Caenorhabditis elegans: one gene and its partner. The protein of the gene in region 2 interacts with the protein of the main gene of each other region in a pairwise test. Each region holds a gene or a part of one and is shown on either strand. Other genes may lie near its edges.

Region 1 (3,756 bases), on a different chromosome or scaffold from region 2:
TACATCAAATCAACCAGCTTTTTAAGAATTGTGGCATTCTCGTTTTGGTTCGCATCAATAATAGTCTTCGTGATCGGTGAGTTTCTTAAATACTATTCATACGCGATTATAAAAATTCAAAAGAATGAATTCGCTAGAATACAAGAAACAACTCTGCAATTCTAATATTTTCAGTGCTAATGCTCACAGTCTCAATTGACCCATCGCGAAGTTTGGCCTCAAAATGTGTATCGATTACTTTAGGATCTTCCGCCGTCTTTCTTGCCACTTGCTTCGCCGTGAAAACCCTCTATTTCTGGGCAAATCATTCTTGTGGGCACGTCTACCGCGAGGATTGTTACAATTACCTAAGCACACTGGTCTGAATGTATTATTTTTATAGCTTGTTATTCTACCCACTTCTATATTGAGCTTTTTCATCACGCAAAGTTTCTCAAAATTGACACCAATGATCTGATTTATTTCATACACATAAGACTAATAATGAATTCTTATTGAAATCCTGATTAATGGATCTTTTTTAGTTCATTACTAATACAAGGCTTATGTTCATGAATTCGAGGGAAAACTAAAAGAAAACAGAACAAAAATGACGGAGCAGACATAAATCAAGATGCGGATAAATAGTAGTAACATACATAAGAGATATCTATTTTGTGTTTTGCAATATTTATAAATATTGTTTTTTTTTAATTTTAGTAAAAAAGTTTGAGAAGCAAGTGAGAAAGTATATTTTCAGAAGAGTAAAAAAAAACAAAGATTTGCAAGAGAAAAAAACGTTTTCAAAATTGTGTTCTGAATGCCTTTGGACGCGTCGCGGTGGCGCTGCGTGTTCTTCCAGCATGGCATTTTTTCCAAAGAAGAAACACGTTTGCATTTGTTCGTCGCCCATTTTTATTCGTACATTCCGTACAAATTTTATCAGTTTCTGATAGATTTAATATTGTACAATGAGAATTTCCTATTTTTATTTGGCATTTCGCAAGTTAAATCATTTAAAAACAGCTTTTTGTAGAGAAAAATACTGAAAACTACAGTATACTCAATTTTTTGTGTTCTTCAAATTAAATTTGTTTCATTTATTTTTATTATTTTCAGGTGTTAGCTAGCAAAAATGGTTGAGCTTGGAGGAAAAGGGCCATACTCGACATCGTTCGATAACTCTGTCTTCATCATCCCCGCAATCGTTATTGTAGCCGTTTTCGGTGAGTATATTAAAACTAAAAATAACAACGAATCTCGCAATAATTTACAATCTTCAATAGTCAAATCTTTTTGGTCGGGCTATTTGTTAAGACCAACATAATTTTTGAGTACTGTAGGTCTAACATGTTTTCCTTTTTTTGAAGATAGGCTAAGTTCCATTAAAAAAACATGCTTCTACCGTATTCAAATTGATAAAAACAATTCACACATCCATCAAGCAGTTGATAGAAACATAATGTTTTCAGCCTACGCCGTTATCAAGCTCCGTGACACCACTTTGGCTAAGGATAACAAAAGCACGGCTCGTCAACGCCGTGAGGAGAAGAAGAAGGCCAAGTAAATGTACAAAAACAGGACTACATCCAAAGTTCACATTCCAAAGACAACTCGACATACAATTTAACAATTTATACTTCGATTTCCATTTGGGTTTTTTTGTATTTATTTAAAAGTTTTATTTGATATTAATAACGTTTTCTAATGTAAAAATAAAATTGATGAACGGATCTTGTTTCTCCATTCTCTACACGCTGCTCCATATGGTTTCCATGACAACACGCGCACAGCAGTGAGCAGGTGAACATCGACTCTATTGCTTACTCTAGGGCACGCTTCAGTCAAAAATGTCGCTTTTTCGGCTCGTCGAATGGGTTTCACAAACAATTCCTAATACGTCAACTATATTGAACGCTTCATTTTTTCAAGATAGAGGTACTTTTTTCAAGATGTCAAGGTCTCCAGTTCGATGTCATGGTTGTGCAATTTTTTTTGTTGAAAAAAAAAACGAATCTCAATTTTGCTCCACTGAGTATATAGTTTTCGACGTTAAAATAGTAACATCAGTAGGATTTTTCCAAAATGCACTCAAAATTAATTTTTGGTCAAAAATTTGGCACATTGCCAAATTATTGAAAAGTTGGTTTTTCTTTAATTTAGAGAATTCTTAAATATTCCAAGCTTGAAAATGTTTGAATATAAATAATTAAAACAAATAGAATGATGAACTTGTGGAACATTTTTAATTTTGGTCGGTTTCCAAAATCATGATAGGTGAAAACTGACCATTCTTTTTTTGACTAAATATAAAATTTTTCAAATATTTGGAAAATTTTCACAATGATATTTGGTCATCTTATTACTATCGAAAGGCTCTAAACGATTCCCCCGTCATTATTCCAGAGCAACTTGTTATTGGAGGAGAAAACGGTCAAATTACGATCTCAGATCCAGGATTCAGGGATACCAATGTGACTTTTAAAAGTCGAAAGATTGCAAAAAATGTGGTAATTTCAGGCGCATGTACTGTGTACAACTGAAACTAAATATGCTATACTCCAAATGGCATCTGATAACTTTCTACCTTCAATGAATAATATTCTTGCCGTCTTATCACCAACAAAGTTAACCTATTACAAAGTTCATTTTGGTAAGTTATGTATCTATTCAGCTGTTATTTATCATACAGAGTGGCTCATAATTATGACAAACAGATGTGGTATCATAAAAACTGTTTTTTTGCAAACTAGGTCAACTCCAAGATATTCCTGATCCAACATTACATTAATAATTGAATACATCTTTCTAATTCGTTAATATAAAACACGTTTTGATAAATCGAACTATGAAATCTATTTTGACAGGCTCCATATTTTTGAGTCTTTTCATTTTGAAACCGATAGTTGTTGATACATGTTTATTTAACTTCAAAGAGAGATAAATACAATATTTGATTCGGATTGTCTTAATAAATACGGGTCATCCTGTAATATACAAAAAATAATAGGCTCAAGTACGAAACAAGGCTGTGCGGCTGGTAAAAAAATTCGGCTGTCGGCTGATGCCGACAGCCGACAGCCGCACAGCCCTGGTACGAAATGGTTAAAATTTCAGCAAGTCCTGATGAAACCCTCGCATCACTTGATGAGATATTCTCTCATTCTTTTTCAACATCTGCATGGAATATGTGTGTAATACCAATTGAAGAATCAACTCCACAGATATTAGTGCAATCAATTGATTGTAAATTATCTTTGTTTCAAGGAGATCAATGTGTTTTTTCAATGGTTCCATTGAGAGCTCTTCAACCAGGACCAATCGGTTACTGTCAGACTACACAAACTCTTTTTGTTGCAAATAATGGATTCTTAGCTGCTATCAAATTCAGTCTTATGTCAAGTGGATCGCAGAAAAAGATTAATGTAAGCTGTGGACTATTGAATATTTTTCGAATGTCCAATATCATCGGGAAACTAAAAAGTATTGAGTTAATTACAAATAATAAACCCAAGCTGTCGAATTTTGATAACGCTGAACATTTTTTCAAATATGCTGACTTTACACTGACAGTAAATTTGAGTCTTCTTTTTTTCAGTATGACTGGTCTTTTAATCTGGGTGATACTGCAATACAAATGAAAGTAACCGAAGGATCTAAACCAACAACCATTGTATTATGCCGCCGACACGTGTCTGCATTTAATGCAACTGGATCAGTTGTCTGGCAGATTCGTTTAGAAGCTGTTGGAATGGCAATGTGTCTTTATAGATCACT
Region 2 (3,756 bases):
CTATAGGAGTGAATATTTCCATATTTCTCCTGAAACTGAAGATTCACGGGTTCGTCGAGAGCATTGTAATGCGCGAGCATCAGAATCTTCTTCCCTATAACCACGCTGACCATCGTGACACCGCTTCCACCTTTTCCATTCACGGAACCATAATCCATATTTGTGGGCTCTCCGTTTGTCGTCGTTGTGCTCACTGTGGTGCCCTCCAGTGTGGTTACTACAAATTTAGGTATTACTTGTATCAATTTTTAATGCCACGTTTTTTCGAGAGTTGGTTTTCATCTTAATATTGTTCTCTTGAAATAAATATAAAATTGAGGTCAAATTTATTTGGAAAGTTAAAACCTCTTGCAATAATACCCAGTAAATCGGAGGAACTATATTTTCATTCAATTCATTTCTCTGGGTTGACTGTTTTCAATTTTTTTCCAAAACATGATTTTCGAATATAATTTGAACGGAAATATTCTAACCTGAAAGTGTATTATCGTCACTACAAGAAATTACATAATCCTCCGGGGTTACTGTAATCTGTGTGACACTTCGTTGATGTTTTCCCATCACGGCTATCCGCCGAGACGTTCGATGATTGTAGACGACGATATTTCCTGCGTTGTTGCCGATTACCAGTGTAGGAGTACTTGGGGACCATGCAAGACATGTTGGGAGCTCTCTGGAATGAAGCAAGTTTTGGTGTATCACTTTTTAAATCTGAAGTACGTAGAAATACAACGAAAAATCTGTAATCTTTTGAAAACTCCAAAAAATCTCACAGTTTCAAAATTTTGAAATAATATTTTGTAACCGTATTTAGAAAATGCCCCCGTTTTTCAACTCACTTTGAAGAGGTCGCTCCACTCTCAACAGTATCTGTATTCCGCGAGTTCACATCCCATAGATAAATAGTCCCGGTATTTGCTACGGCAATCGCTAGTACATCACCTTCCTTATCCCAAGCTATGTCGATAAGTTTTCTGGAAGTTGAAAAAAGTGTAAATCACGAAAATCTTCTTTTTTCTTTACATTTCAAAAAACTCTGAACTCACCCAGTTGGATTCAACGCGTCAATAACATTTCCTTTCTTATCGTAATAGATGACCGTGTTATTGGCGCTGAAAAGTATAATTTATTGCTTGGAAAAGCTCAGCTTTAAAATGCATTTAAAAAGCTTCAAATTCAGAAATTCCAGAACCGATAATAATAAATTGAGAAATAATGATGAAAATTCAAATTTTCAAAAATCTGAACAATCAGCGATTGGCTCCACCCATTTTCAAACCAATCAAGGTCTTTGCAAACGCATTGGTCATGAAGCTCCCATTTTGGAAAAAAAATCAAACAGGACAATTAGCCAAAATTGAAAATCCTACTTCTAAAAGTTGGCTTTAAATTCTTTCTCGATTTTTTTCGTCTTTTTTGGAGTTTTTGAATTTTGAATATTTTAAAGAAAAATCTTTAAAAAAGATACTGTTAAAAATAAGAATTAAACAAAAAATAAACAAACCATGCAACAGCTACAGTATGCCCATTTGGTCTCCATCGATGAATAATCGGTCCACTTCCGTGCTCTTCTTCGCCTCTTCGATATTGAAGCTGAGCAGAAACACATTTAAATACTTCCTGATTTTTTGTGAGAGTACACGGAATTACCTTTAATGACATTTATATGAATGAAGATCTCCGTTGTTTTCGACGTTTGCCACTGCTCCCCTATGATTTGTCACTTATGTCACGAGCCTACAAATAATGGTTACAAAAAATGAAGTACAAATCATTGAGCTACCCGAGCCTTTGGGGAGTTGTTGCCTTGGTAACCGGGCTACACAGTGTGTGTTGAGCACGCAAATTGAGGAAAGAACAGGGGAAGTGGAAGAGGGGATTTGATCATTCCCGGTTTGGGAATAATGACAATTAGTAGAATTTTCTGGATTCTCGAGAAAAAAAAACAAACCGCAATTTCATCTTTTTATGTGAATATCGAACAAAAATATTTGATAAAATTATTCATTTACACATCTGGGGCAAATACATTTGTAATGGGAGAGCATTACGGGTACACTAAATTTTGAGAAGTATCTCATAGCGAAAACTACAGTAGTTTTTTTAATTAGTACTGTAGCACTGCTCCGATTTTATTTTGGTTTTTGGCCATTTATTCCAAGTTTAGCCAAAAAATGCACAAAAATGCCAAAAGGGTATTCTTTTTTTTAATTTTTCAATATTAAAATTTTTAGAGAAAACTTTATAATCAAATTCCAAAACGACTCCACCTTTAATAACTTCAAATATTAATTTAATTTTAAATTTTAGACTTCAGAAAATTATTCTTAATTTTTGTTCTAAACAGATTTCCTTTTTAAAATCCTCCTTTTCTCACATGTCACATTTTTCATTGTCATTGCCAACTTCTAACATATGACGTTCAATATATTTTTAACGTTTGTTATCTCTTTTCAATATATCTTCTCTAAAAATCAAATTTCAGCTTCTCCACCATATCCCCGAAAATCTTCAGTGTAACCTCCACAGGAAACCGGTCCGAGGTTCACCGTCCACAGGCAAAACTGGCGTCGAATACACAGCCGACATCGAATCGTACGACACTTGGCCGCCGTAAGGCAATTTCTGACGACAATTTTCCCGTCGTTGAGCCGATATTGAAGAAAATGTGAGTGCGTCTGCTGCGCATCGATCGATATTATTTGGTTTATGACCCCTGGTTTCTCATTTTTCGGTTTGAATATTAAATAATTGAACGAATTAAAAAAAGAAAGAATAATTAAAATCACGTGATTCTTTTTATCAATTAAATTTTCGTGTTTAGTTTTTTAATCCGCATTTCAAAAATTTTCGCTTTTTCCGTAAAAATGGCAAGTTCCACAAAAGTTTCCTTACGGTACCCGTTATTTTTTTTTGAAAATTTCGCACAAATTGTCATCATTTTCAGTCGTCCACCTCGTCCACAGGTTATGTACTCACTGAAGCCAAAAGTTGTGGAATTTGACAAAGTATGGGTGCAGTTGAGACCATCTATCATTGATATCATCAATTTGCGGCCGATCACCAATGTTCAGTGGCATCACAAGTTTAGGTAAGTTTTGAAGGAAAAGTTTGATTTTTTCCAGTGATAGAAATTTCAGAAAGTATCATTTCTGTCATTCAACAGATTTTTCGAATTTTTAATTTGAAAAAAAAGATTTTTTGGGATTTTTTGTTCAAAAATGTCTTGATTTTTGGCCAATATCTAAAGTTTTTGTGCAAAAACTATTTATATATAAGGCAAAAATTACCTTTTTGTTATTAATCCGATTTTGTAAAAATGTTATGTTTTAAAAAATCAATTTTTGAAGTTATTTTCAGCAATCGCGTTGTTTGTAAGCAACAATCCTAAATTCGATTTTTGACAGAGAAAAAAAGTTTTTCGAGGATTTTGTCCACAAAATCCGAAAATTTTTTGACAAAACTATTTTTTTTTATTTCACGTGTATAATTCACTGAAAAACTCAATCATTATTCCAAGAATTGTAAAAAATTGCTCCAAAACACTAACATTCACTTATTTTCCGATTAATTCAGGATTATCCGAAAAATCGATTTAAAAAAACATTGTTGCAAAATCGGATTGATGATCTTATAACCTCTTAAACATACTTTTTAAAACCATTTTGGTAGTATTTTTTGAACAAAATCCATTTCTGGGAAAAAAACATGAGAATTTTTGAAAAAAAAAAAGATTTTTGTACTTTCCAAAGAAAA

Evidence for each region. Proteins that work in one complex are often made in the same cells at the same time.
Region 1: the proteins of dyf-2 (region 2) and bbs-9 interact in a protein complementation assay, tested with the Caenorhabditis elegans proteins (one study listed by BioGRID).

Annotation. Positions count from the first base shown.
Region 1 is NC_003279.8:6,921,029-6,924,784, reverse strand, and holds the start of bbs-9 (Protein pthb1 homolog), read left to right. Parts: upstream 1-1,811; 5' UTR 1,812-1,829; coding exon 1,830-1,917; intron 1,918-2,385; coding exon 2,386-2,453; intron 2,454-2,499; coding exon 2,500-2,632; intron 2,633-3,096; coding exon 3,097-3,404; intron 3,405-3,577; coding exon 3,578-3,756. Other genes in the region: C48B6.9 (uncharacterized protein), read left to right, coding at 1-76, 175-365; C48B6.10 (Small integral membrane protein 15), read left to right, coding at 1,115-1,205, 1,452-1,546. UniProt on the Caenorhabditis elegans protein: Component of the BBSome complex. The BBSome complex is thought to function as a coat complex required for sorting of specific membrane proteins to the primary cilia.
Region 2 is NC_003281.10:13,684,784-13,688,539, forward strand, and holds the start of dyf-2 (WD repeat-containing protein dyf-2), read right to left. Parts: upstream 1,757-3,756; 5' UTR 1,663-1,756; coding exon 1,651-1,662; intron 1,594-1,650; coding exon 1,505-1,593; intron 1,113-1,504; coding exon 1,047-1,112; intron 975-1,046; coding exon 840-974; intron 674-839; coding exon 474-673; intron 218-473; coding exon 1-217. Other genes in the region: cul-2 (Cullin-2), read left to right, coding at 2,868-2,896, 2,948-3,091.